2 linked regions of the Mus musculus genome follow. The protein of the gene in region 2 purifies or fractionates together with the protein of the main gene of each other region. This does not show direct contact. Links are inferred from orthologs where the notes say so. Each region holds a gene or a part of one and is shown on either strand. Other genes may lie near its edges.

Region 1 (16,204 bases), on a different chromosome or scaffold from region 2:
GTGATGCCACTAGTTACAGAAAGTTAGAAGGCTAAGGAGGATCAATTGAGCTTAGACAGTCAAGGCTAGCCAAAATACACCAACCAGCAGGAACAGAGAGGCTCAGTGGTTAGGAACACTTGCTGCTCTTCTAGCGTTCTAAGTTAGAGACCAGCACCCATGTCAGATGAGTCACAACTGCCTGTAACCCTCTTGTATCCGTGTGTGTGTGTGTGTGTGTGTGTGTGTGTGTGAGAGAGAGAGAGAGAGAGAGAGAGAGAGCGCTTGTGAGAGAGCGAGCACACGCAAGCAAGCAGTTGGCATACTGGTCCACACCTTAATCCAAGCACAATGGATGCAGCCTAGTCTATATAATGAGTTCCAGGACAACCAGAGCTACAGTGAGACCTTGCCAATAAACAAACAAATAAATAAACAAATAAAATAAGGAAATACAAAAGCCAACAATGGAAACATGCTATGATCTTAGCAGGATTTTAAAAGATGTTACACAAGCCATAAGGATTTCACAAGGAAATTTTTCAAAAAAGGGAGAATAGGCTATGGGGATAAATGGGGCTCCTCACCAGAGGGAGTACCAAAGTTGATTCCCAGGTATCACATACAGGTGAGACCAGCTTTCTCATCTAAGAAGATTCTCAGCTGAAAACAAGAGCCACACCCAAACTTAAGAACTTTAAAAAAAAATGAAAAACCCAGCTACACTTAAAAATACACCAAGGCGCCGGGCGGTGGTGGCGCACGCCTTTAATCCCAGCACTTGGGAGGCAGAGACAGGCGGATTTCTGAGTTCGAGGCCAGCCTGGTCTACAAAGTGAGTTCCAGGACAGCCAGGACTACAGAGAAACCCTGTCTCGAAAAACCAAAAAAAAAAAAAAAAAAAAAAAAAAAAAAAAAAATACACCAAGGGAAGACTGGAAAGCTAAAATGAAAACTGGGTTCTTGCATCTAAAACAGTTTGGAACTCAGAGTTAAAGTGAAGGGGAGAGATGCCAGAAGCTCCAGGGACTCAAGTCCTGCTCCACCACAGCTCACATCACCTTACAGCTCCAACTCCAGGGGATCTGATGCCCTCTTCTGGCCTCCTCAGGCACTTGCACCAATGTGGCATACACCACTCTGACACATAAGAAATTTCTCTTAATATTTTTTTTCAAGCAAAAGGGGAAAGTTGCATGAAGAGGGAAGTGAACAGAATTGCAAACTAAACACTTCAGATCTCTAAGATGGAGCCTTTGAAATAGACCTCAGCTCTCAGAAGTACTGCAGTAGGAAAGTGGGCTGGGCAGCACTGAGCCCACTTGCTTTGGGGACACCTAGCACTGGTTTAAGACCCACAGATTGCTTAGTCTTTCCTGGCCCCTTAGTTGAAGACAAATGTCAACCTTCAGACTGAAAGAGCAAGCAAATGCTAATTGATGTGCATGGAAGCCAGTGTGCTCATCTAGTGGTACTGACCGGTTAACTGCTGCTGCCAACACAAGACATTACACCTACCTGAGCTCGAGAGAAATAATTTTTAAAAATATATTTATTTTGAGACTATGTTTGAGTATAACCCTGGTTGGCCTGGAATTCACTATGTAGACAAAGATGGCCTGGAACTCAGAGGTTGGTCTATCCCTGCCTCTCAAGCACTGGGATTAAAGGCACACTCCACCAAGGTCCACCAGAACTTTGATGGCCCTGGGCTTCCCTGGGCTCACAGGCTCTAGTGGTTGGATCTAGGAAAATGCTGAAGCTCCAGCAACTCAGAAGCTGGAACCACAGCTGCCTGGCAAGCCTGCATCCCCAGAGGGTACATCACCTCACCTGAAGTGACCCTTTCTTCAACAATCCATAGAGAACCAAGGAATATGGGCAGCTGACAACCCAAGACTTACAACCTAAGAAGAGTAGGGCTTTCTTCCAGGATTCCTGCCCTTCATCTATATCCACACAGTACCACACCATTTCAGATACAGTACTCACCTATCAAACCAGCTGCCTGGAAGGCTGAGGCAGCAGTTCCAGGCTAGCCCAGACAGAAAAGCAAGATGCCAACAACAACAACAACAACAACAACAACAACAACAAAAGAAAGAAAGAAAGAAAGAAAGAAAGAAAGAAAGAAAGAAAGAAAGAAAGAAAGAAAAATGCAATATTAACCTTAACCATATCAAAGCTCTCCAGGAGCTCTCTCCAAGAGCTTGAAATGTACAGAGACCAATCTTGGAGTCCATGAGATAAACTGTTCAGTGACTAACCAACCCAACTATTCCTTTCAAGTCTGTTCCCCTCGCAGCAGAAACAAACAAGAGCTAACCACCTGCACTTTCTATAAAGCATTTAATTCCAAACTTCCAGATGACAGAGTATTCCAGAGAGCCATTTCATGCTCTCAAGAATTCTATCTTGGACCAGATGATGGTGGCACACACACTTAATTTGAACACTTCAGAGGCAGAGGCGGGTAGATCACTGTGAGCTTCAAAGCCAGCCTGATCTACAGAGCAAGTGTTCAGGACTATACAGAGACCCTGTCTCAAAAAAAACAAAACAAAACAAAACAAACAAACAAACAAAAAAACAAACCAGGTGTGGCGGCGTATACCTTTAATCCCAACACTCGAGAGGCAGAGGCAGGTGGATTTCTGAGTTTGAGGCCAGCCTAGTCTACAAATTGAGTTCCAGGACAGCCAGGGCTATACAGAGAAACCCTGTCTCAAAAAACCAAAAACCAAAAACCAAAACAAAACAAAAACCAGGCAGTGGTGATGCCCACCTTTAATTTCAGCACTTGGGAGGCAGAGGCAGGCGGATTTCTGAGTTCGAGGCCAGCCTGGTCTACAGAGTGAGTTCCAGGAGTGCCAGGGCTACACAGAGAAACCCTGTCTTGAAAACAACAAACCAACAAAACAAAACAGAATGTCTTTGTCAGGGTTTCTATTCCTGCACAAACATCATGACCAAGAAGCAAGTTGGAGAGGAAAGGGTTTATTCAGCTTACATTTCCACATTGCTGTTCATCACTGAAAGAAGTCAGGACTGGAACTCAAGCAGGTCAGGAAGCAGGAGCTGATGCAGAGGCCACGGAGGGATATTCTTTACTGGCTTGCTTCTCCTGGCTTGCTCAGCCTGCTCTCTTATAGAACCCAAGACTACCAGCCCAGAGATGGTCCCACCCACAAGGGGCCTTTCCCCCTTGATCACTAATTGAGAAAATGCCTTACAGTTGGATCTCATGGAGGCATTTCCCCAACTGAAGCTCCTTTCTCTGTGATAACTCCAGCTGTGTCAAGTTGACACAAAACTATCCAGTACACAGAACAAAACAGAATTCAAACTTGGACTAGAGAGATGGCTCCAAGGTTAAGAGCTCTCGTGGTCCTTACACAGGACCTAAGTTTAGTTCCTAGAACCCACATGGTGGGCCACAACCCTCTATAAGCACATGTATGATGCACAAACACATACGCAGGCAAAATACTCATCCATATAAAGTCATCTTTTAAAATATACTTTTTTAATAAAAGAAAAAGTCTAGCCAGGTGATTAGTGGTGCACTCCTTTAATCTCAGCACTCAGAAGGCAGAGACAGATCTGGAACTCTGTGAGTTCCAGAATAGCCAGGGCTACATAGAGAAAGAAACTGTCTCAAAAAAAAATTTTGGGATTTGGGAGGGGGCGGCTAGAAAGATGACTCAGAGGTTAAGAGCACTAGCTGCTCTTCCTGAGGTCCAGAGTTCAATTCCTAGCAACCACATGGTGGTTCACAACCATCTATAATGTGATCTGATGCCCTCTTTGGCATGCAGATAGAACATTTATATACATAAAATAAATTAATCTTTGAAAAAAAATGTTTGGAGGCTGGGGAGATGGCTCAGCAGATAAGAGAGCTTACAGCTCTCAAAGAGGACCCAAATTTGATTCCCAGTACCAGCATCAGGATACCACTCTAAGATACCTGTTGCCCTGTTCTGGTGTTCTGGCTCCCCAGGCACCTGCACACATGTGGCAAACACACACACACACACACACACACACACACACACACACACACGACTTTAAAAAAATTCTTTTTTTTTTAAAAAGAATTCTTTGTTTGGAAAGATGGCACAGTGAGTAGAGCACTGTGATACAAGCCTAGCAATCCGAATTTGATCCTCTGGAACCACATAAACATTAAGGGAGAAAACGAACTCCACAAAATTGTCCTCTGATCTTCACAGTTATGCCATCACTTGCAGTTTTCTACCATCAGGCACATAAGCATGTACAAACATACACACACTTTTAAAAGAATCCTCCTTTCAAAGGCAAAGTGTCCTATTTGGGCTCAAGAGTTGCAGCTGAAAGGCCAGACTACACCTCTGACATTCACATACAACACAGCATTCTGGCCTCCTTGGCGGCCACACATCTTCAAAGGCAGGTACTGGGTGCACAAGTCTGCCTACCACCCCAAGTACTATCAGCACTACAGAGAAATGGCTAGTCAACTACTCAGCCACAACTCATAAAGTTTTACCACAACTCATGAAGATGCAACTGCATGGGCTCTCAGACCTGAGACTGGAAGGAAGCTTAGACAGCACAGGTTCACTTCATTCAGGAAATGAGCCCCACTTCATAAGACCCTACACTAGGGAATACTTGTGCCCTGAGAATGAAAGGAGTGCAGACTTAGCAAGGCCACCAGAGAACACACTGCCTGCTTGCTGCTTAATGAACCTCAAACTCAGCTGCCCATTCTCACAACCAACTACAGAGCCAGGCTCAGGACAGCACACTCCCAGGAAATGAAAAGGAGCAGCCCTCAGAAGCGGCTTCAGAAGGAGTCTGTCATGAGAAGCAGAAAGCCTTCCAGCAAACTCAGGCTGGGGTCAGTTTGGGTTCAAGTACTACTGAGGATTGCAGGAGTAGGATACCCCTTCATCCAGCTCTGATCCTGGCACCTTGAGATGTCTGTCTGCCACAACCAGAAACATCATTAATCAAGGGATAATACATGCTCCATCTGACCAGTAACAGGGTCTCTACATAGCCTTGGCTGTCCTGGAACTCAAGCAATCCACCTGCTTCTGCCTCCTGAGTGCTAGGATAAAGGCTACTTACTACAAGCCTCTTTTAGATTTATGTCCAGGACAAAAGTCCCCTCCTACAGACTAGTGTTGGGACGGTTCTCCAGGTCTCAAGAACAAACCCCCAGCTTTGAGGACCATCTAAAAATTCACCGAAGACAAAGTCTACCTTCCTCAGGGAGACAAAACATCAAACAAAACCTGACTCCCAAGTTAGAACTGCCACTCTGCTCTTCTCCTGAACTGTGGTCACAGCAGAGAACAACAGGGACATCACTGTACAGGACCTAGCAGTGCTAACATGTATCCTCTTTCTGACAGGATCAGTGGCATTTTAAGTTAGTGTTAAAAGAGCTGTCACCTTTCAGCAGAAAGCAAAGCTGGAACACAAGACACAGGCAAAGTTCCACACCCATTGTCACAGAGACAGAGCCCCTGCAATGCTAACAGGTAACTCTCACCCAGTTCTGATCACATAGGACTAGCAGGCCAAGCCTTCCCTACTCAGGTAGAGTGTGTATCAGCTCATGACACCCTTCCACAAGGCTGAAACCACTAGCATTATGTCCTAGCCTAGCCACAGCTGACACCACTAGCATTATGCTGTCTGCATAAAGGGGGCTAGCTTCATCCCACCTTCCTTTATGGGGCTACTGGGAAGAACAGAACACACTGTCAGGGTACCTCAAAAATTAATTAGGGTTGTACATCTCTCCTTATTAACCAGGGGTGTAGATAGCTGAAAAAGTTCACACAATCCACCCTGCATGAATTCCTGAAGCAAGTAAATAGAAGAAGCCCTTCCAGAACAGTTCGTGTAGGCCACTGCAGCACTTCCAGGTCTGAATCCGGGTCTGAATCCGGGTCTGAATCCGGGTCTGGAAGGTATGCTTCCAGGACGGGCCACCACTTCCTTTGCTGCAAGGAACTTGCAAGCCAGCAGAGGCAAGTGATTCCAAGTAGGAAATGATGGCCATGGTGCCTGCTTCTGGAAGAGTGAGAGGAAGACAGCAGCTCCTGAGATCTGCTCCAGAGTCCAGCAGTGGTTGAGTCCTCCTTCACCAAGCCTTCTTCCGTCCTCCCACTGCTTTGCAACCAGGGCTACAAAGCTGCCTTTGGCAAACTCCATCTTGGACCACCACTTCACTATTTAGCTTTTCATGGGACTGTGTATAGTCTTTCCACTTTTTTGAAAAATGAAATCTGTTAACTTTAAGGTTACATTCACATTCCCCACAGACACATCTCAAGCCACCTGTGATTTTCTCAGTCACCAATGCTCCCATTAGGCCATTCCACAGCTGGCCTTCAGGACTGGAGCACAGGGCTTCTTGAGAAAATGGGGGCGTGGAGGCAACTCCTGAATCACAGGCCCAAGAGTTGAAACAAAATGCAAAAAGGGAGGACTCTTCTCTAGGAAAGAGGTCAAGACATGGAACATGTATGAGAAGCTGATCTCTCAGGAAAACATGGTCCAGACTTTCTTCAAACAGCAAGGGCACCACAGGACTAAAAACTCTATCACTGGCTAAAGGGGAACTCAGTATGATTTCTGTGCAAGTGTAAGTCATACCCTTCACCTTTATTCATACGACTACAAGCAGATGTACAGTATACGTCAGAGACTGTCAACACCCTAAGCAAACACACATTGAGGTGAGTGAAGCTTCCACAGTTCTGGAAGTCTATTAGCTGCCTTTTGGAAGGGAGATGGGGACTTTCTGAAGTACAGGCCTGGCAGGTCAGTGCTTGCTGCTGCTGAGGCTAGAGCAGGGATGGCTATCTTACTGAGACCTCCTTGGTCAAGGAGCTGGTCAGTCAGAGGCTGTGGACTTTAGGTCAGCTACCTGGCACTGATTTTTTTTTTAAGCCAACAGCTAAATTTGTTAGCCATAATTGCACACTCATAAAGGTAAGCATTACATGACACCATTCTCTGTCACTTCTCTCTGAAGAGGGTTAATTTTAGTGTTCACTCTTCAACTCTGTCCTCGTTTTGTATTTTTTCCATGAACATCCTAAATATGTGTCAATTAGCAAGTGGTGGAGCTTATAACTGGGCAGAGCAAAGCACAGATCCCTGCACAAACATGCAGCTCTTACCTGGGCCCTGAGCAATCACGGAAACAGTGCAAATGTCCAGGGACCCTTCAATACCACAGCAAGAAATGGAGGACAGTGCTCCAGGCTGATTCTACAAAGAGATTCTGCAAAGCCAGCCCCTGGCACATATACCTAGTTGTTTTTGTGGGTGGTCACTGACAGTGCATTTTGGGAAACACTTCCCTCCTCACTCAGAGACAAGTTCTCAACTCCATCCACCACAATAAGGTCTCCCTTTGAGATATACACTCCAAGCAACTTACCCACAGGCCAAAGAGCATAGTAATACTTATGACCAAGGGAAAATTCAAGAAACTAATGTTTGGGCCAGGCATGGTGGCATATACCTTTAATTCCAGCATTTGGGAGGTAGAAGCAGACAGATTCTCTGTGAGACTACACTGGTTTACATACATAGTGACTTCCAGTGACTGTCTCAGAAAAAAACAAAACAAAAACCTAAAATTTGGGCTGTCTACCTTCCTTCTTTTACCCACAAAGGGTCTTCTAGTCAGACCTTACCTAACACTTGGACCCACCTGATCTATAGCATCATGATTACCTGTCAAAGCGCTTGCTGGTCCCAACACTCTCACATACAAGCAGTCAGGATCTCTGATAAGATCTCAAGCAAAGGAGTTACACAGGAGTTAAAATTTCCACTGTGGAAGAGATGAGCAGTGGTGGTGCAATCGTTTAATCTGGAAGAAGAGGCAGGAGAATCTCTGAGGCCAACCTAGTCTAAAGAGCAAGTTCAAGGATAGTCAAAGCTACATAGAAGAGGAATCCTTCTTGAAAAACAACATCAAAAAATTATACTGTGTACACTATGGCTTCAGCAAAGATGCAAAAGCCATCAAGGCTATGTTTTCCTATCTCTTGTTTTTACCTTTTAATATCCTAATATATCAATCATGTGATTACAGTCAGTAATACCAATCACTGGCAAACAAAACAACAACAAAAAACCCAACAAAACCTTAAACCAAAAAAAGAAAAAAGAAAAAAATTTAAAAAGGCTTTCTAGAAGATTTTTATCTAGCCTGTCCCTATTCTACCTCGAGAAAATGTCTACAGTATTTACTAAATTACTATCAAGGTGATCTTAAAGACCAAGAAGAAAATAATTTTGGATCCAGCAAGCAGATCTCATAGAAACTAGAGCACCTCTATTTCTACCAAGACCACACAAACAATGTGAATTATTCTGAACACACCACAATACAGTGTACATTGTACATTGCTAAGAGTAACTGGTCAAGCATAGTCAAGGGAACTCAAAAGACTCAAACCTCGGTTACCTGTCCAAGCCCAAGATGATTTTTCTTCCATCCCGAGCATATTAAAAAGTGATCTCAAAGGCCACTTCCTGGTCTCCCAGCAAACACCTCATATCTGAATGCCTGTGCATCTTCCCATGGCCCTGCTCCTAACAGCAACAAGGATACCCGCCCCCTACACTGCCAACAAACCTTTGGGAAAAATACAAGAACAGGTGAAATTAGTCTATGCTCACACAGGAAGAAAAAGATGTCCCTCTGCTCACAGGACTCTTAGCAGAGGAAAGTGTGACATAAAGTAACCCCTTACAATTAAATCTTGACAGGCTAGGGCCCAAAGCACCTCAGGAGGGGCAAGAGAGAGATGGAAAGAGGACCGGAAGGTAGGAATAAGAGAACAATCAACTATGACGGGCAGTAACTCAGTACCAAAATCCCATGCTTTAGCTTCTGGTCAGATGCGCAATGGAGCATTTAGGCCAAGAAAGATGACAGGAAGGATCCCACTCTCTGCAGGGTCGTCTTTTCTAGAAAGACCCCAGGAAAGGTTTGTCCACTATCAGAAAAAAGAGGAGACTCTCCAGGCATCACAGGTAGACAGACTGGGGGCAGAACGGGCCTAGGGTTCCCTCCTAGCCAAGAAGGAGGTTCAGCCAGGAGACCGAAGGGGAGTAAAGGCCAAGACTCCGGAGACGCGGGCTACTCTAGTCATCGCGGAGACACTAGTTGCTTCCCACCTTGCCCCCGGCAGGGAGACCTTCCCGGGGGGTTCTCAGTTCCCAGGGTTGAGGTGAGGCAAGGAGGCACGGTGGGGACCACCAAGGGCGGTCGGGCTGGGACAACGGAGAAGAACTAGCTCTGATCAAAGCTCCAAACGCTCCCTCAGTCCAGGCCGCGTGAAGCCTCGGCCTCAGGTACCCTCAGCTGCCGGGCAATCCGCCTTGCCTGCGGTCCCCGGACCCAGGAGAAAGAGAGACCGAGATGGCAGTGGCTGTGGCGGGCAGATCACCGCCTGGAGAGAGCCCCTAGCCGGGGGCGCGTCGGAGGGGGAGGGTCTCGACACATGCGGCCTCGGTCCCCGATCGCGAGGCAGTCACTTACGTTGCTCTGGGAGTCGATGGCCTGTAGCAGCCGGTCCCTCATCTGCTGCGGAGACGCCGGAGCCGCTGTCATTGCCTGGGCGAAGCGGGGGGGAGCGGCCGGGCCGGCGGGCGGGCAGGCTGAGGAGGGGGAACGCGGGTCAGTCACTCGCCGGCCTCCGGGAACGGAGCCGCATGTTCCCCGCGGCGCCGGAGGAGGTCAAGGCGCTCGGGGAGATGGCGAGGACGGAGGGAAGCGGAGGGGACCGGAGCTCAGGCCCCGGACCACCGCCGCCACCGCCGAGCGAGGAGGAGGAGCCGACGGAGGAGCCTCCGCCACCACCGCCGCCGCCGCCTCGAGAACCAAACTCCAGTGAGCTGCCCCCCGCGCTGAGCACTCTGGGTAACCCGCGCCGCACGCAGCGTCGGCGCCACGCTGAGGAGGTTGGGAGATGGGGCGGGTGGAGACGCCGGGTTTGGGAGGGTCCGGCTCGTGAGCCCCTCCTATTGATTGTGCGCACGCGCGCGCAGGCGCAATTAGCAGGTCCTGCCGCCTGGTTCCGAGGTCCGACACAGAGGGCCGTTGGGAGGCAGTTGGGCGTGGCAACGGACGCTATCTGAAGGCCACGCCCACTCGGGACTGGAGGGATGGGCTTCCTAACGGAAGCGCACCCTTCAAGTCCTGGAACACCGACTCTATCTTCTGACTGCTTTGGGGTTGCGGAATGGAAAGACCCTCCCCCGGATGAGGGCCTCCTGCGTTTAGAAACCAGAGGATTGGAGCGGCCATAGGTAATCTGAGGAAGGCAGCGGTTCCCTGCGTTTAGACTCGTGCCTCGAGGAGCTCGGAGGAGCTCCGCACAGCCTTCTCCGCTGCAGAGGCCCCAGGCGCGGGTCTGCAGGGCAGTGCGTGTCCCCATGTGACCCGCGTGCTGCGGGGACCTAAGGTCACGTCTGGGAGCTGCCACCTCTGCAGAGGACGCAAGTCTGCAAGGCCTGCGCGACGCTGACACCTCGGGTCTGCATCCGTGCGGGGCTGGAACTCAAGAGGAAGCACCGCTTTTGTCGCCTTCCTAGAGGCGGGGGGGGGGCGGGGGGGGCTGGAGGTGGCCAGCCTGTGTCTGAACAGCAGGATGCGGAACCGTCGCCCAGCATCTTCCCCTTGGCGTTCCGAGGGGACGGAGCGACCCCGCCTTTGCATCTCAGGTGATGGAAAACAGGAACGCCTCACGGGGGAGGAAGGGAAGCACCAAGGTCACCTGGAGTTTTAAGTCAAACCAAGAAACGAAGGAAGTCAAGTATAAAGGCTGCGGTCCTCCGTCCTTCGGTGACCCCTACAACTGGACAGATGGAGGGCGGGCTCCGAGTTTAGTGCACTATACGAAAGTGGCCTCGGGAGAAATAACTTCGTGTAGTGTTGTAACCTTAAAAATCCAGACATGAAACGGAAGGGAAACAGGTAATGAAAACCACATGTACTTCTGAGAGCTGCTCAACACCTGTTAATTTTAAATTTGTCATACTTCGGGGGGGGGGTACTGGGGGAGGTGAGGAACCAGGCATTTAATTCCAACGCTTGGGAGGCAGGAGGCTCACTGGAGTTCCAGGCCAGCTTGGTCTGCACAGTGAGTTCCAGATTAGCAAGGACTACGTAAGTAAGACCCTGCCCTTTTCTCCCACCCACCCAGAAAATAAATTTATCATGGCTGGTTTCTTGATTCTGCACATGACAGAAGGCTTTGCATTACACCAATAGAATGAACACGAACAAATACTTCTCAAATACACTCTCTTCCTGGCATGTGTTTGGAGCTCAGGTTCCAAGTTGGAAAGCAGCCCATTTTGAAGATACACTTAATCTCACCAGATAAGCAAAATAAACAAGGTCCTCCATCAACATTGGCTCTTAGTTTGGTGTTTTTTGGCAGAGTTTATGAAGCCTGAGCTGGTCTCAAACATTTTATTCCTTCCAGTGTCTCCTGGTGCATTACATTTATGCCAATCTTCTGTCTTTTATTATTATCTAATAGTTGATTTTTATTTTTCTCCCCTTATACAGGCTCTCACTACAAAGCCCTGGCTGGCCTGGATCTCACTATGCAATTCTGACTAGTTTGAAACTCACTGTGGAGACCAGGCTAGCCTCAAACTCACAGATATCCGCCTGAGTTCTGCTGCCCAAGAGCTGGAATTAAGTGCATCATCCTACCCTGCAGACCTGCTATCTTGTTTATTCAGTGGTATAGTATGCCTTTTTTTTTTTTTTCAAAACAAGCTATAAATTAAGCAGGCAATTAGTTTTGCATGGATCAAGTCATGAAAACATCTTGGACAGCATTCAATGTACCTGCTGACCTTGCTATTTTAGATTCCTCCCCAGGTTTTGAGACCACATGTAGCCTAGGCTGGCCTTGAACCTTTTTCTTTTCTTTATTTTTTATTTTATTTGCCTGGTATGGTGGTACTCAAGGGGAGGCAGGAGGATCTCCGTGAATCCAGTCTAGTTTACATAGTGAGTTCCAGGATAGACAGCCATATGTAGAGAGACCCTGTCTCTAAATTTGATATTAATGTTTTGCCTGTAGTATATATGCACCTATATGTGCCTGGTGTCTACAGAGGCCAGAAGTAGTTGTCAGATCCCTAGAACTAGAATTACATGGAGTTGTGAGTACATACTGCGAATTGAATCCTGGTCCTTCTTTGAGAACAGTGCTCTTAACTGCTGCATTGTCTCACAGGCCTGGCCTTGAGCTCTTCATGTTGCCTCCACCTCCTCAAGCGCTAGAATTATAGGGCATGTACCACCCACCATCATACCTGGTGCTTCTGATTGCATTTTCTATGCCTAGCCTTTAATCTCAGCACTCAAAGAGGTAGAAACAGGAGGATCTCTTGAGTTCAAGGTCATCATATAGGTATGGGGAATTGAACTCTGGACGAGCAGCAAGCATTCATAATGGCTGAGCCATCTCTCCAACCCATTTTCTTGTTTTGTTTTTTCAAGAAAGGGTTTCTTGGGCTGGTGAGATGGCTCAGTGGGTAAGAGCACCTGACTGCTCTTCCAAAGGTCCAGAGTTCAAATCCCAGCAACCACATGGTGGTTCACAATCATTCGTAATGAGATCTGACTCCCTCTTCTGGAGTGTCTGAAGACAGCTACAGTGTACTTACATATAATAAATAAATTAATTTAAAAAAAAAAAGGGTTTCTTTGTGTAGTTCTGGCTGGCTGACCTGAAACTCATTTTATAGACCAGGCCGACCTCAAACTCATAGAGATCCACCTTCCTCTGCCTTCAGAGTGCATGACTACAATATTGTGGAGTCCTATGCACACAACTTTATTCTACTTGTTCATTTACCTAAGTTTGATTGTTTGTGTGTGTGTGTGTGTGTATATATATATATATATATATAACTGTTTGTGTTGTACAGAGGACCACTGCCAAGAGTTAGTTCTCTTCTACCATCCTGGGGATCATCTTAGGCTTGGCTGGGTTAGTGGCTATACCTGCTAAGCAATCTGGCCACTCTGGTTTTTCCTTTTTTGAGACGGGGTCTCCCTCTGTATCCCAGGCTAGGCTTGAACTTCTAATCTTCCTGCGTGAGACCCAAGTGTAGTCCTGTTTAAAAGTGACACCAGGGGCTGGAAAGATGTCTCAGTAGTTAAGAGCACTGACTGCTCTTCCAGAGGTCCTGAGTTCAATTCCCAGCAACCACATGTTGGCTCACAACTATCTGATGCCCTCTTCTGGTGTGTCTGAAGACAGCAACAGTGTACTCACATACACAAAATAAATAAATCTTTAAAAAAAAAAAGTGACACTAGCTGGATCTGGTAACTCACTCCTATGATTCCAACAGTCAGAAAATGGAGGCAAGAGCCGGGCGTGGTGGCTCATGCCTTTAATCCCAGCACTTGGGAGGCAGAGGCAGGTGGATTTCTGAGTTCGAGGCTAGCCTGGTCTACAAAGTGATTTTCAGGACAGCCAGGGCTATACAGAGAAACCCTGTCTCGAAAAACCAAAAACAAACAAAAAAACCCCAACAAAAACCACGTAAATACTGTAAGAAGATGCTTTCGTTTTAATCAGAGGTGTGGGATTGCTTCAGATTATGCGTCAGGTGTTGTGTTTCAGATTGTCCACAGCAGCTAAGTCTGATTTGCCTCACTCTCTAGAAGAAGCATGATTTGCCAGCTACAGATGGTTTCTGCGTTTGTGTGGTATTTTGAATTCTGGGGGCTTTTCAGAGGGTGTATAAATGCTAGGACCCCAAGAAGGGTAGGTTGTTGGTTGGTAGGTTGGTGCTTTTTGGTTGCTGTTGGTTGTGGTTTGTTAAGTAGTTGTATGTAAAGAAGAAGAAATTAGATATCCTGACCGTGAAGATCAAACTTGCCCCTAATCAGCAGGAAGTGGTGACATAGTCTTCCACAAAGACAGCCTCCTTAGCCTACCCAAACAGCATCAGGATCAGGGACCAATGCTCAAACATCTTTTAGGAAGCCATTGTCATTCAAATCACCACATTCCATTTGACTACATAGACTCATAGCCTTACCAAACTGCAAAATATTTCAGATCAAAAGTTCCCCTAGTCTTTCACAGTCTCAACACTGCTTAAAAGCCCATAGATGCTTCTAAGACTCAAAACAATTTCTTAATTGTAATCTCCTGCAAAATCAAAAGGCAAATTATACAATTGTTACATACAATGGCACAGAATACATATTACCTTTCCAAAAGGAGGATTGGGTGCTTGGTGAAAAATTACTAAAAGACCAAAAGCTACCAGGGCGAACTCTAAAGCCTGTATGTAGCTCTGTGTCTGATGTCAGAGGGCTGAGATGGCTCTGTGTCCAGCCTTGCTGCCTGCAACACATCTCTCTGTCAGGATGGTTCCACTTCCTGTGTGCACACTCCTTGCCAGACAACTCATGAATCTGGCATCTCCAATATCTTGGGGTTTTCAGTGCAACCCCAGACTTCACTTTCACAGCTTCACACAGTGGCTTCTTAAGGACTTCCAACTGGGATTCCCCTGCCATAGGCTACCTTTGCCTTGCAGAAAGAAAGCTTAGCTGGGTGGAGTCCTGCTCTGAGGGCATCATTCTCTTTGTTCCCTTAGGCAGAGCAAGCCTGTCTTTACTGATGCTGATCTCAAGTGTAATACTAAGCCTCCAGGGTATTTTCCCACAATTCAGTATATACCTGTCATGTTTCGTTCTGCCCCATTGCCCCTTTTCATAAGCATTTGCATAAGCATTGGCAACCATAACCACAGACTCAACATATGTTTGGAATTCCTTCCACCAAAGAAATAAGACCACTGCTTTTAAATTTAATCTCAGGCAAGTTCTCCAGACAAGGCAGAAGGCTACCACATCCTCTGCCAAAACAGTTCAGGGACGGCTCCTGCCCAGTTACTAATGCTGTTCCCTCTGAAACCTCTTGAGCTGGGCCTTTACAGTCCACATTGCTCGCTCTCAGGATGACTGTCTTCCAGGCTCCTACTGCGACTAAGATGATCTGTATACTTTCTTACAGGGGTCAACTGCTATCTTTAGTCCAAAATTCCTAAGTCTTCCATGTCCTTCCAAAAAACATGGTTAAGTCTGTTAGAGCTACAGCCCACTCTATAATACCAACTTCTTTTTTGTGGTTGTTTTGTTTTTTCAAGACAGGGTTTCTCTTTGTAGCCATGACTGTCCTGGAATTTGTTCTATAGACCAGGCTGGCCTCAAACTCAGAGATCTCAGAGAGCTGCCTGCCTCTGCCTCCCTCTCAAGTACTGGGATTAAAAGCATGCACTGCCACCACCAACCTCCTAGTTACTTTTCTGTTGCTATGATAAAACAACATGACTAAGCCATGTGGTGTGTGGCACATGATGTTAATCACAACACTCAGTAGGCAAGCAGACTAATGAGTTCAAGGCCAGCCTGGTCTACAGAGCAAGTTGCAAGACAGCTGGAACTGGGTTCTCTAGGGTCACAGGGCTTATGGAATGAATACATATATAAAGGGAATTTATTGGAATGACTTAGAGTCTGCATTCTAGCTAGTCCAACAGTAGCTAGCTGTGGATGGAAAGTCTAAGAATCAAGTTGTTATACAGTCCCACACGGCCGGATATTTCATCTGGTCTTCTGTATCTGCTGGAATCATGGAGAAGTAGGCTTCAATGTTAGTAAAGGAATTGATGCGCTAATAAGGCAAGAGCAAGCAGGCAAAGAGCAAAAGCTTCCTTCTGTGTCCCTATATGAGCTTCCAGCAGAAGGTATAGCCCATGTTAAAGGTGTGTCTTCTCCCTTCAAAGGTCCAGACTAGAAGTGGATTCATCTACTTTAAACCAAGCAGAATATCTTTCATAGGTGTGCCTTCCATTTCTGATGTCATGTTGACAACCAAGAATAGCCATCACAACTAAGACTACATGGAGAAACCCTGTCTCAATAGACTAGACCAAACAACAACAACAACAAAAAAACCCAAAACAAAACAAAAACAACAAAAAAAAAAAAACAAAAAAATTCCACCAAGACTAAAAGTGACTTCTGGAAGGAAGAGTTTTTGTCTCAGATGCTACTTCCTCCAATGAGGCCACACCCTCTAAACATTCCCAAACATCTCCACCAACTAGGGACCAAGTGTTACATGCCTGAGTCTATGGG
Region 2 (14,652 bases):
TGGCCTGGAACTAGATAGGAAGGCACCTTGGACTTCGCTTTCTCTACTGCCACAGAGCTAGGTTTACAGAGATGAACCACTCTGGCTTAGAGGCTGTTTTAAGGGTTGTAGCATTTGGTTGAGAATCACTGGTTTAGAGGGAAGAAAGGAAGGTGGAGTTGACGTAAGCATAGTCTCAGAAATGAAAGAGATAAGCCAGGTGGTGGTGGCCTTTAATTCCAGGGCTCTGGAGTCAGAGGCAGGCTGATCTCCATGAGTTTGAGGCCAACCTGGAATTAAAAAAAATCACAACAAACCTGGCGGTGGTGGCACATCCCTTTCATCCCAGCACCTGGGGCAGTTGCCAGGTGGATCTCTTTGAGTTCAAGGCCAGCATGGTCTACAGGAGTTCCAGGATAGCCAGAACTCCACAGAGAAACCCTATCTCAAAAAAAGCCAAAAACAAACAAAGAAAACTAATTGTGGGCATGAGCATGTGTGTGTAAGACCCAAGGTATCACAGTCCCTAGCGCCACGGTTATGGGCAGTTGTGAGCTATTTGAATTGGATGCAGGGAACTGAATTTGGGTTTTTGCCCTCTCAATTACAGTCGTTGTCGTCATCAGTGTCTCTCCCCACCCCTTCATTCTTTGAGACAGTCTCATGTAGCACTGGCTAGCCTCTTTCTCTGCCCCCAAGTTAAGGGATTACAGGCATATGCCCAATGTATGTGGTGCTGTGGATGGAATTTGTTGCTTTGTGCATACTGGGGAAACATTCTACCTACTAGCTACATTGCCAGCCCAGCTAGTGACATTTACTTATTTGTGTGTGTTTATTGTGTGGTGTGTGTGGGCATATGTTCTTGTGTAGGTGCTTATAGGGGTGTAGAGTTGGTGTTGAGTAACTTCCTTGATTCTTTTGCACTTACTGAGGCAAAACCTCTTGCTGAACCCAGAGTTCATCAGTTTGCCTAGTCTACCTAGTTTACCTTGCCCCAGGAAACCAATCCCCTGTCTCCTCCTACCAACTGCTGGATTATAGGAGCCCTCTATACGTATTGTATGGGTTCTGAGGACCCTAACTCTGCATCTCACACTGAAGTGGCAAGTACTTGATCCGTTTTATCACCTGCTCAGCCCCAGAAAGTGATGCTATCGTTTGCCTTTTGTGTCTTTTTTTTAATTGAGATGGAGAATCTCTTGTTTTAAAATTTTTATATGTACAGATTATTTTGCTTCCATGTATGTCTGCATGCATGTGTAGTGCCCATAGAAGCCATAAGTATATGTTGAATCCCCTGGAACTAATGATGGTGAACCACCTTGTTGGTGCTGGGAACAGAGCCCTTATCCTCTGGAAGATTAACCAATGTTGCTAGGGGCTGAGCTGTCTCTCTAGCCCTACATTACTGTTTTAAAATTAATTTTTTTTTAAATTGTCTGTGCAGGCACCTGAAGAGGCTAGCAGTACTGTGAGGTATCTGATGTGGGTGCTGGGAATTGCTTTCTAAGAGTAGTACATGCTCGTGTCTCCAGTCTTCTGGCTGTCCTGGAACTCACTTTGTAGACCAGGCTGGCCTTGAACTCAGAAATCCGCCTGCCTCTGCCTCCCAAGTGCTGGGATCAAAGGCATGCGCCACCACGCTTGGCTGGTGTTTGTTTTTTAATTTATATTTCTGGCCGTTCTGCAGCTCACTAATAATAGACCAGGCTGGCCTCAAAGACAGAGATCATCCTGGCTCTGCCTCCCAGATGCTGAGACTTTTAGGAGAGTATTTTCAGTTCACACTTCCTCTTGCAGAGTTTGAGACAGCGGAGACTCTGCTGAACTCGGAAGTCCACATGCTTCTGGAGCATCGAAAGCAGCAGAACGAGAGCGCGGAGGACGAGCAGGAGCTGTCGGAGGTCTTCATGAAAACCCTCAACTACACGGCCCGCTTCAGCCGGTTCAAAAACAGAGAGACCATTGCCAGTGTGCGCAGGTGAGTACTAAACAGACGTTCAAAACCAAAATCTACTTATGGATTGTGGGTGTTTTAGATGCTTGTATGTCTGTGCATCATGTGTGTACAATCCCCACAGAGGCCAGAACAGGGTGTGAGGTCCCCAGAACTGGAGTTACAGGCAGTTGTGAGGCACTGCGTAGGTGCTGGGACTCAGAACCCAGGTCCTCTCCGGCCCTACAAAACAGTTTTATTATTATAGACTCTCGTGAAAGATAGAGGCTGTAGGATCCAGGAGTCCAAGGTCATCCTTAGCTACATAGTAGGTTCAAAACCAGCCTTGACTACATGGTGCTCTGTTTTTAAAAATGCTGTTTTAAAACAAAATAGGGGCCAATGAAATGGCTCAATAAGTAAAACATGCTTTAGCCAGGAGGTGGTGGTACACTCCTTTAATCCAGCACTCAGGAGGCAGAGGCAAGCATATCTCTGAGTTTGATGCCCGCCTAGCCTATAGAACAAGTTCCAGGACAGTCAGGGCTACACAGATAAACTCTGTCTAGAAACAAATGCAAACAAACAGTGCTTTCTGTGTGTAAGCCTTATGACCCGAGCTTATAGAGAAACCCAGATGCACCCAGCAGCTCTGAGAATGAATTCCCAAAAGTTGCCTTCTAAGCGTGCATGCTTACACACATACACATACAAACACACAAATGGCTAAATAAACCACACACAAATACTGAAAAACACTCTAACTGGGTGGGGTACTGCATGCCTTTAATCCCAGAATTTGGTTGACAGACAGGAGAGTTTCTGTTTCAGTCCAGCCTGCTTTACATAGCAAGTTCCGGGACTACATAGATAGAACCTGTTATTTATTTATTTATTTATTTATTTTTGGTTTTTTTGAGACAGGATTTCTCTGTGTAGCCCTGGCTGTCCTGGAACTCACTTTGTAGACCAGGCTGGCCTCGAGCTCAGAAATCCGCCTGCCTCTGCCTTCACCACCGGGCTTGTTTTTATTTATTTATTTATTTATTTATTTTTTTGTTTTTGTTTTTTTTTAAAAAGTTGGGATGGCTCAGAGGTTAACAGCACTGTCTGCTCTTCCAGAGGTCCTGAGTTCAAATCCCAGCAACCACATGGTGGCTCACAACCATCTCTATTGAGATTACAGATGCCCTCTACGGGTGTGTCTGAGGACAGCTACAGTGTACTTATATATAATAAATAAATAAGTCTTAAAAAAAAGTAATCTGGAGCTTGAAGCCCGCCTTCCCCCCCAAAAAAATTTTTTTTGCCTATAACAAAAAAGGCTCTTAGCCTTGATTCAAAGTCAAATTTTTCTCCTTTGCATCACAACTTCTGGGGTCACTAGTATATGCCATCATGCACTCTCTACCCAGGTAGAATTTTTTTGTACCTATTTTTATTTTATATATATTGAGCAGTGTCTCACTAGCCCTGGCTGATCTAGAACTCTATATTAGACCAGGTTGTTTTCTGTCTCACAGAGAACCACCTCCTTTGAGATTAAAGGTGTCCAGCACCACACGTTTGTTTGTTTGTTTTTCTGTTTGTTTATTTTAGAAAAAATTATATTATCATCATTATTTTGTTTTTAAATATTTATTATTTTATGTATATGGGTACACTGTAGCTGAACAGATGGTTGTGAGCCATCATGTGGTTGTTGGGTACTGAATTTTTAGGACCTCTGCTTGCTCTGGTCAACCCCGCCCTCTCTGGTTGGCCCCGCTCACTTCGATCAACTCCACTTGCTCAGTCCTTGCTTGCTCTGGCCCAAAGATTTATTTATTATTATACATAAGTACACTGTAGCTGTTTTCAGATGCACTGGAAGAGGGCATCAGATCTCATTATGGATGGTTGTGGGACACTTTGTGGATTTGAATTCAGGGCCTTCGGAAGAGCAGTCAGTGCTCTTACCTGCTGAGCCATCTCACCAGCCTTATTATTATTATTAATCATTATTTATTATTATTATTACTATTACTACTTCTACTACTGAGACAGATTTGTATCTCTGTAGACCAGGCTGCCGTGAGCGTGTGCCATCAGGCACAGCAATTCTTTTTTTTTTTGTTTTCTTTTTTTAGTTTTTGGGGTTTTTTGGTTTTTTTTCAAGACAGGGTTTCTCTGTGTAGCCCTGGCTGTCCTGGAACTCACTCTGTAGACCAGGCTGGCCTTGAACTCAGAAATACACCTGCCTCTGCCTCCTAAGTGCTGGGATCAAAGGTGTGCGCCACCACGCCTGGCTAGCAATTCATTTTTTTTATGTTGTTTATATGTATATAGATGCTTTTCTATATGTGCACCATGTATATTCAATGCCAGCACTAGCAGAGGCCAGAGAGGAGTTGTAGACGTGTGGAGCCACCCAGTGTAGATGCTAGGAACCTCACTTGGGTCCTCTGAACATTAGCAGATGCTTTTCCTGCTGAGCCATCTCGCCAGTCCTCTAGAGTATATAAGTTTTTACTACATACATTTTGAAACCAAACTTATTCTAGTAAGCTTTATTAAATTATTCAATTTTTATTTTATGTGTACGAGTGTTTTACCTCTGTACCACACAAGTGCCCAGTATCACGGAGTCCAGAGTGAGTCCTTTGGATCTGGAATTTCAAACTGTTGTGAGCCATCGTGTGGGTACTGTGAACTCAACCTGTGACCTCTAAAAAGAGCATCACTTAACTCCCGAGTTCCCTCTCCAATGCAGCGTGTATATGCCGCCTTACCCTGCTGGGCTCTTTTCAGGGTTCTTGGCTCTGCCTGCTGTTTTTCATTTGTTTTTTTGTTTTTGTTTTTGTTTTGTTTTTTGTTTTTTTCTGGAACTTGTTGATTTTCTGGGGTAGGAACAGGAAGTGACTTCAAAGGAGGATTCTGATGCCCACATAACCATAATCAAATATTACAATCTCCTTTTTGCTATTGATGAATGATTAGCATTTGACCGACACTGAATGAGAACATAATTTTTTTTGTTTTTTGAGACAGGGTTTCTCTGCGTAGCCCTGGCCGTCCTGGAACTCACTTTGTAGACCAGGCTGGCCTCAAACTGAGAAATCCACCTGCCTCTGCCTCCCAAGTGCTGGGATTAAAGGCGTGCAATACCACGCCCGGCCTAATTTTTGTTTTTTATTAGCATATAACTACACATAGTAATGGGTCCCACTGTGACATTTTTATTCAAGTATATATTTTGATCATACTTATTTCCCCCCATTACTGCTCACTTCATCACAGTCTTTCTGTGTTTTTATTTTCCGCTACAATCAGCTTGCTTCTCCAGAAAAAGTTACATAAGTTTGAGTTGGCCTGTTTAGCCAATCTTTGCCCGGAGACTGCTGAAGAGTCCAAAGCTCTGATTCCAAGGTTAGTACCGGATGGGATAGATTTCTGTCTATTTTCTATAGATTTCTATAAGTCAAATTGCTAGAACTAAAAGTTGTATGCATTTAATATTTGGGTTAATGACATGGCAGCATTGAATAGGAATGTAGTTGAATGGTGTTTGAGATAGGATTTGGGGATTGGTTTTGTGGTTTGTTGGTGGTAGTCTCAGGTAACCAAGGCTTTCCTTGAACATCTTGATTGTCTTGCTTTCACCTGTCAAGGGCTGGGATTACAGGTGTAAATGGTCATGCTGGCTTAAGAATAGTTTGAGTTGCTGGGCAGTGGTGGCGCACGCCTTTAATCCCAGCACTCGGGAGGCAGAGGCAGGCGGATTTCTGAGTTTGAGGCCAGCCTGGTCTACAGAGTGAGTTCCAGGACAGCCAGCCAGGCTACACAGAGAAACCCTGTCTCGAAAAAAACAAAACAAAACAAAATTAAATTTACATCATGTGTGACTGTTGAAGCTTTTAAAAATCTTTTTTCTATTTACAACTTTTTAGTGCTTATATAAAGGAATGTCAAAAACCATTCAGTTTAAACTTCGAGGCAGTAGAGCTAAGCGAGCTGCTCGGAGATGAGCCTCCTTTGACAGACTGGGGAAACCTCCAGCGGCCAAGTCACTTACATTTCTTGGTTTTCTTACAGCCTGGAAGGGCGTTTTGAAGATGAGGAGCTGCAGCAGATTCTCGATGACATCCAGACGAAGCGCAGCTTCCAGTACTGATCCGCAGACGTCACTCTGCTCCTTGAGTTACAGCACCACGGTCTGAAGCCTGGGGAGGCCTCATGCAGGAACATTGCTTCAGAAGACGCTGGAGCTTCTTTCGTAGTTTTTGCTTCACTGCGAGAGAGTGTCTCTCCAGTTCTCAAAGTCATAACAGTCCTCCTGCCTCAGCCTCGCAGGTGCTGGGATTACAGGTGTGAGCCAACACTTTCAGCTTGGCTTCTGGAGAGGAAAGAAAGGCTGGCTATTGATGCTGTAGGTGCTATCTTCACAGTGACTGTTAGACCATAACTACCATCTGCGCTCCTTGCAGCCTTTTAAGGCTGCTGTGGTCAGGCAGGCTGCCATCCTGAACTGCTGAGGTAGAATGATGTTCAAACATTCGTTGACTACTTCGTACCGTGGTTTTTTTGGACCCCATGTTACTATTTTTTTGTTCTTGACACTTCAGATTTTAATGTCAATTATTTTGTAGTTTTTGAAGCTAAAATGATATATAAAAAACTTGCATAGGAGAGGAGTGTTTTCACTTGGTTGTAAAGGGGAGAAATAAACCAGAACACTGTTTTTTTTTAAAAGAATTGTATTTATTTGTTAATGGGGAGAGGGTACATGATCCATGGCACATGTGTGGGGGGCAGGAGTCAGTTCTGTCCAAAGTCTTGTACATACTAGAAAAGTGCTGTACCATTGAGCAACACTCTAGCCCAGAAGTTGCTTTTGTTTGTTTGTGTGTTGTACATATGTATGTGCAAGTGTGTGCATCTATGTAAGGAGACTAGCAGAGGACATTGGGTGTATACCCATATTTCTGTCCTTTGAAATGGGCTCTGTCTCACTGAACCTATATCTAGGCTGGATGACCAAAAGCCCCAACAATCCTGTCTTCACTTTCTCTTTTTGCTTGTACCTTGGGGTTCAAGGCATGTACAGTGGGAACACAGCAGTCTTTTCACTAACGGTAGTGCTAATGGACAGACTCAGGTCTTCATGCATAGCACATACCCTTATTCACTGAGCCAGTCCCCAGCCACCCTGCAATGTTTAAAGAGTGAGAGACAGTTGACTAAAAGAACTTTGCCACCACTCTGCCTGCCCTGGACACAGGATGGAAACTCACCATGGGGAGCACCGTCTAGGGTCCTTAGCCTTGTGGTAGACATACTTCATCTTAAGGGAAAGGAGGCTGTCTTGGAGAATGTATTTGAAGTGGCCTTAAAGAGTTCATATTGTCACCTTCAAATTAAGATAGGTCAGATTGGAAGACCTAAACACTAAAGACTCCTCATAAGGTAGATACCTAATCCAAACCTCTGATCCAATACTGAGTGACACGTATTCTGTTACCGAGGTGATATGGAAGGAGCGAGTGACTGTGCTCCTGTCTCAGTGCTAGAAATCAGGACCTCTGTGTCTTCTCATCTTAAATCCCAGCCTGTGGAGTTTGAAGTCAGCCTGCCAGGGCAGCCAAACATTCATACATACATACATACATATATACATACATACATACATACATAAGTCAGCCTGCCAGGGCAGCCATACATACATACATACATACATACATACATACATACATGCATACATACAAGGTTGAACTTCTACCTGACCCTACCAAACATTCCTCTCCCCCATCCTCCACCTCCTTTCTGGAGGGAAAGTAAGGGGAAATAGTAGAAAAAAATGCTTGAAAGGAGACAGCTCAAGAGTCGTGTGAGGGATTAACATTAAGGGATGCTAGCAGGCTGGATCTCAGGAAGTCCTGTCTCGGATCACGGGCTACTGTGATTCAAGATGGTGGTGCTTGTAGCCAGCTTGGAGGAAACAGCTACATGGCAGGAGAAAATGAAATAGACAAGCTAGGTGTTTCCGATTAATGATGGGGAGGGAGGAAGAGTTGAAATTGCCTAGTCAGACTGCTCTCTGGAGGCTGGAGGAGGGGATGAGGAGGCAGAAGACCCTGCTTCCCAAAAATGAAGATGTGATGGGCCCTAGGCAGGAGTGGCTACAGAGGAGATTCTGGGTCAGCATGGAACTATGGAGAGAGGAGCTGGAAGACGCCGTGAAGGGACAACCAGGGAGCTGAGCTGCAGAGAGCTTGTCTGTGCTTAGAAGAATGAAGCAAACACAGAAGGTCACTTTCGAAGTGCTGAGAAGAAATGGGGTCCAGTGGCTACTGGGAAGGCCAGCAGGGGCAGGGAAGAATGCAAGGGAGGTGCAGAGGGTGCCTGCATGTAGACAATTGATAGATTGAGCCCTTGTTAAACAAGTGTCACAAGGTCCCTTTATGTATCCGAGACACTTACTGGGCTATCCAGCCAAAGAATATATTTAGCTGGAATTAAGGGCATGAGCCACAACACCTGCCTGCGGGGTTTGGTTTGGTTTGGTTTGGTTTTGAGACAAGGCCTGTAATTAATAGTAATCTGCTTGCTTCCTGAGTGTTGGAATTATAAGAGAACATACCTGGCCAATCATTTCATAATCTTTATGGTGCTGATGCAATAATACAATCATTACCAGAAAGAGCTGTGATAGGAGAGATTATGAAATAGTCTTTCCCCTCTTTTTAAAAAGCATGGTCTCTGCTGGCCCTCTTTCTGACCCTCCTCCAACTTTAGACTCCTGAGATTATGCCACCATTCCTGGTTTTGGTTGGATACTGAAGATTGAAGCCAGTGCCTCTTGTGTGCTAGATAAATGTTCTGCCAGCTGAGCTACAGCCCCAGTCATGAAATAGCCATTTGTAAAGCTGTAATCTCAGTACTTGGGATGTAGGCACAAAATCAGGAGCTCAGCCATCCTCGGCTACATAGCAAATTAAAGGCAAGCCTGGGCTATGTGAGATCCTGTCTCAAATAAAAAACTGACCCCGGTGGGCGGGTAGCCTAGAAAACTATAGTGCTATGTATCTGAACCCGTAGTATGAGATGTCTAATAGAGGTAGCACTTGGAGAGCAGACGCAGGTGAATTTCTGAGAGTTCCAGGTGAGCCAGGGCTACAAAGTGAGACCCTGCCTTAAAAAGTATCCTCCTCTAAAAATAGAACAAAGTGGGGTGTACTGGCTAGTTTTGTGTCAACTTGACACAGGCTGGAGTTATCACAGAGAAAGGAGCTTCATTTGGGGAAATGTCTCCGTGAGATCCAGCTGCAAGGCATTTTCTCAAATAGTGATCAAGGGAGGAGGTCCCCTTGTGGGTGGCGCCATCTCTGGGTTGGTAGTCTTGGTTCTATAAGAGAGCAGGCTGAGCAAGCCAGGGGAAGCAAGCCAGTAAGTAACATCCCTCCATGGCCTCTGCATCAGCTCCTGCTTCCTGACCTGCTTGAGTTCCAGTCCTGACATCCTTTGGTGATTAACAGCAGTGTGGAAAGTGTAAACTGAATAAACCCTTTCCTCCCCAACTTGCTTCTTGGTGATGATGTTTTGTCCAGGAATAGAAACCCTGACTAAGACAGGGGTTAATGATTAGGATCTGGAATATGAGTGCTATAAGGATCCTGTGTCAGGCTTGGTTCCCATGTAGCAGTACAACCTGCCCAGAAGGGCTGGGCCCTTCCCTGTCAATCATTAATCATGAAAAGACCTCTACAGATTTGCCTGCAAGCCAATCTGATGGAGGCATTTTTTCCAGTGTTCCTTCTTCCTAGATGACTAATTTGTGTGAAGTTGACAAATTACCCCTTGTCTATTAGACATAAACTAATAACCTGAGTTGGAGAGATGGCTCAAGAATTAATACCAGCTGCTGCTTCCAGAGGATCTGGGTTTTTGATTCCCAGCACCCCACTCATGGCTAAACCATTTTAAACTCCAGTTTCAGGGGTCTCACACCCCTTCTGGTGTCTGTGGGCACTGCGTGCAAGTGGCACACAGACTTATGCAGGTAGAATACCCACATATAAAACAAAAATTCTTAAAGCCTTTAAAATTCCAGATTTTGGGATCCAGTGGCAAACTCACAGATCTCTGAGTTTGAGGCCAGGCTGTTCTACATAGTGAGTTCCAGGACAGCCAGGAATACATAGACCCTGTCTCAAAAAAACAAAACCAATACCTTAAAAATCGAATAGCTGAGCCGGGCGTGGTGGCGCACGCCTTTAATCCCAGCACTCGGGAGGCAGAGGCAGGTGGATTTCTGAGTCCAGCCTGGTCTACAAAGTGAGTTCCAGGACAGCCAGGGCTATAGAGAAACCCTGTCTTGAAAAACCAAAAAAAAAAAAAAAAAAAATCGAATAGCTGCTCATTTGTTATCCCAAGTGTCATGATCATATCACAATATAAATACAGTTCACTGTTGGGCATGGTGATGCATGCCTATAATCCCAGCTCTTGGGAGGCAGAGGCAGGCATATCTCTGTGAGTTCAAGGCCTGCCTGGACAAGGAAGCTCCAGGGCAGATAGGGCTCCAATAGGGTTTTGTCTGAAACAAACCATCCCCTTCCAAACCAGATAATAATAAAAAACAATAAGCCAAACCAAAGAAAAGTCGCTCAGTGGGGGCTGTAGAGAAGACTCACTAAAAGCACTCTTTGTTCATACAGAGAAGAGCGGGGTTAGAGAAATGGTACGGTGGGTGGCTAAGAGCGCTTGCTTGCTGTTCTTGTAAGTGCTGGGCCTGTATTAAATTCTCAGCACCTACATGGCAGTTCAGAGTACCTATAACTTAAGGTCCAGGGAATCTGGTGCTCTCTTCTGCTGCTCCTCAGACACCAGGCATGCCAGTGCTGTACATAAATTCATGCAGGTAAAACAGTTATACACATAAAAACTTATTTCTGGGCTGGTGAGATGGCTCAGTGGGTAAGAGCACCCGACTGCTCTTCCGAAGGTCAGGAGTTCAAATCCCAGCAACCACATGGTGGCTCACAACCATCCATAACGAGATCTGACTCCCTCTTCTGGAGTGTCTGAGGACAGCTACAGTGTACTTACATATAATAAAACAAAAAACAAAAAACTTATTTTGTGCTGGAGAGATAGCTCAGCTGTTAAGAGCACCAACTGCCCTACTGAAGGTCCCGAGTTCAATTCCTGGCAGCCAAACGGTGGCTCTCAGCCGTTTGGTGTGCTCATCTGGTGTGTGTCTGAAGATGACTACAGTGCACTCAAATGTGTAAAATAAAAACTTATTTCAAGAGGTAGGAACGGCACAGTTAAAATCCCCTTCCTGGGACTCACGCCCAGTCTGGATTGCAAAGGCCCGGCGAAGCTCCAACTCTACCTATACCTAAAGGTTACACCTCTACTAATTGCATCTCAGCCTCTTCAGGGACTGACCCTGCCACATGCACCAAGCCTCAACTTCTTTCCCTGAGCTCGTCAATACTCGTGGCTCCACTGTAACTGGCGAGGCTGCACCCTCACCAGTGGACTCCTGCCTTCTGCAAGGACTTCAGCCTTGCTATATGATACTAAGTCTTTCGTGCTCTTCGTTAGCCCTTCAAGCCTTCAAAAACAGTAGCAGGTGGAGATGCTTACATATTACTGAGTTCAGCTGCTAGTTTCAGGGGTGCCATGACATACGTGTGTGTATACATATACAAATATCATTTTAAAATATAACAATAAAGGGCTGGGGAGATGGCTCAGTAGCTAAGAATGCATACTATTCTTGTATGAGTTCAGTTCCAAGGACCCATGTTGGGTGCCCTGTAACCTCCTGTAACTCCAGTTCCCGGGGATTTGACACTTGAGGCTTCCAAAGACACTTGCATTCATGTGTATGGGCATTCATACAGACACTCACATATATAATGAAAATCATAATCTTTTGAGAATTTAAAAAATTAGGGCCCAGCATAGTGATATAATCCTTTAATTCTATCACTTTGAAACCAGATCTTTTTTGAGTTTGAAGCCAGCCTTGTCTACAAAGAGTTCCAGGACAGCTAGGGCTACACAGAGAAACCCTATCTCAAAACACCAAACAAACAAACAAACAAAAACGTTTAAAAATTAAATAAATATGCTAAGGTATTTTGTCTTGGGGACAGAAAGGTGACCTCAGTAGTGAACTAACTCTCAGTAAGATTTAACTTCTTTAAACACCTTGGGGCGTGCAGGGGTGCAGCAACAGCTGCCATCAGGCAGACAGCAAGAGCCTGTGCACAGGTCTGCCTGGGTCACTTTTGCCTGTATATGTCCGTCCACAGGCAAAAGCCTGTTGGCTTCTGATTACTCCTTTTCACACATCTGCCAACTGAGGATCGTAGGCAGTCCTTGGAAACCAGATCCAGGACCCGAGGGAGCACCTAGCCTTGTAGCTAAGGATAGCCCCCAACTGCCTATGTAGCCAAAGACTGCCTCAAACTTGATTCTTCCTGCCTCTCTGCACCCCAAGTGCTGGTATTGGCATGTCCCACCATGCCTGGTTCATGTGGTGTGGGAGAAGGTGAAGTCATGAGTGCATGTGTGTGTGTTGTTGGCAAACACAGCTATGTCCGGGACTCCGATATCTCAGACCCATGGTGTCTTAGTGAGGGTTTCTATTGCTGTGGTAAAATGCCATACCCAAAAGCAACTTGAGGAGGAAAGCTCTCAGATACTTCCAGATTACAGTCCCTCACACCCTGCGGGAAGTCCAAGAAAGAATGAAAGACAGCAAGACTGATGCAGAAGCCATGGAGGAGTGGCTCTTTGCTCTCCATAGCTTGCTCAGCCCGTTTTCTTTTAGCTGGCCACAATGAGCCGGGCCCTCCCACATCAATCATCAATTAAGGAAGTGTACCACCAGCTTGCTCATAGACCAATCTGGAGGGAGCATTTTCTCAGCCGAGGCTCTGTCTTCCCAAATAATTCTAGCTCGGCATGTCATCTACCCAACACAAGACTGAAAAGGACAAGTAGGGGAGGATAGGAAGCAATTCCATCATTTAAATAAAAACGACTGACTAGTGCAAACTCTGTAGAGCTTTGTGGTGCTTGTGTGTGTGTGTGTAGAGGCTAAGAGGTAAAAGGTGTCGTCCTCAATCATTTTCCTATATATATTTTTCACACACAAAACCATTTAAGGTTGGGTATAGTAGAACATGCCTTTAATTCCAGCATTTGGGAGGCAGAGGCAAGTGGCTCTCTGAGTTTGAGGCCCACCTTGTTTCTTCTTTTTTTTTTTTTTTTCCTTTTGGTTTTTTGAGACAGGGTTTCTCTGTGTAGCCCTGGTTGTCCTGGAACTCACGCTGTAGACCAGGCTGGATTGGATTATGTATTGAAGGATGCCTTTGGACTTCTGTCCCTCCTGTCGTCACTTCATAGGCTTTGAAACCAAGTTTACGCAGTGCTAGAGAGAAGAGAAAACTCTGGGTTTCCTACATGCAAACGCTTGACCAATCGGTACATTTGTTGGGAGAATTTGTCTATCTTTCTCACCATGTAGGGCTGGGGATCAAGCTAAGATAATCAGGCTATAGTGCTGGCTTCTTTATCACAGGCTTATGCTCTGGTTTTTCGACCTTGAACTCATGGTAATCCTCCTGTCTCTGCCTCCCCCCAACCCCCCCCCCCCACCCCCGCGACGGGGTTTCTCTGTGCAGCCCTGGCTGTCCTGGAACCCACTCTGTAGACCAGGCTAGCCTCCAACTCAGAAATCTCCCTGCCTCTGCCTCTGCCTCTGCCTCTGAAGCGCTGGGATTAAAGGCGTGCGCCACCACTGCCGGGCTGTGTCTCAGCCTCTTAAGTGCTCGGATTACAAGCATGAGCCACTACAGCTGGCTTTAACAAGTATCTTATTTAGTTTTGTGAAATGGGATGTTCTGAGAATATGCAGGATGCCTCATGGGGTGAGGAATGAAAGGCGAAAGGTTCCAGCACTGTGATACCTCCATCAGCCGCCAAGATGAACTCAAATCTTTGGGCGCCGTATCCAAGCCCCACCCCTCACCTGCGCGCATGCTCTATTCGAGCCCTACGGTAGACCTGCGGCACAGGCGCGCGGGGCGTAGCGCCGTGAGGCCGTGATGACGCACAGGCGTACGCTCGGTGGCTCCTCGGGTAAGATGGCGGCTGCATCTTTGAAGGAGAGGAATTGAAGAGTGAGGAGAAGGGAAGGAGGACCAGACTGGAGAGACGTTCCCTGCGGCGCCAAAGGACGCCGCGCTCGCGGTTAGGAGCTCCTCCCGGCCCCCCACGGTAAGTCCGCCGTGGCACCCGTGAGGGCCGCGGCGGGTCGCGCTCCGCCATTTTCGGGCCCGGCCGTTGCGTGCTTCGGGGGTCCGGAGGGGACAGGTCGCGGGAGAGAAGAGGACGGACGTCCGCTAGGCCGGCCGCGGCCGGCGGGGGTCCCGGCGGAGGAACTCTGCGGAGGAGGCCGTGAGGCAACCTAACCTAGGCCCAGCTGGGACAGCGAGGCGGGCCGCAAAGACGCGAAGTTCGGAGGAAGGAGGCGCGTTGGGTGCAGAGGGGAGTGGGACCAAGTGCGGCTTTGGGGACGGCCCAGAAAGGGGCTGGGGAAGTTCCTGGCGAGCCCGAGAAACAGCTGCAGAGTCAGCCTGGGTGCTTTCGAGAATCGAGGTCCATGCTGGGGGCGGGAGACAGGCAGAGCCTTGCCCTTTTGCAGGAGTTTTATTCCTATCTGGCTGCATGCA

The links.
Region 1: the proteins of Polr2d (region 2) and Med26 purify together in Homo sapiens (affinity purification with mass spectrometry; 3 studies listed by BioGRID and IntAct, with this or other methods). This does not show direct contact. The link is inferred for Mus musculus from reciprocal best matches to the Homo sapiens genes POLR2D and MED26.

The regions. Positions count from the first base shown.
Region 1 is NC_000074.6:72,538,345-72,554,548, forward strand, and holds the start of Med26 (mediator of RNA polymerase II transcription subunit 26), read right to left. Parts: upstream 9,967-16,204; 5' UTR 9,623-9,966; coding exon 9,551-9,622; intron 7,871-9,550; exon of another isoform or gene 7,732-7,870; intron 1-7,731. UniProt on the Homo sapiens protein: Component of the Mediator complex, a coactivator involved in the regulated transcription of nearly all RNA polymerase II-dependent genes.
Region 2 is NC_000084.6:31,790,058-31,804,709, forward strand, and holds the end of Polr2d (DNA-directed RNA polymerase II subunit RPB4), read left to right. Parts: intron 1-1,782; coding exon 1,783-1,963; intron 1,964-5,230; coding exon 5,231-5,326; intron 5,327-5,992; coding exon 5,993-6,071; 3' UTR 6,072-6,652; downstream 6,653-14,652. UniProt on the Homo sapiens protein: Core component of RNA polymerase II (Pol II), a DNA-dependent RNA polymerase which synthesizes mRNA precursors and many functional non-coding RNAs using the four ribonucleoside triphosphates as substrates.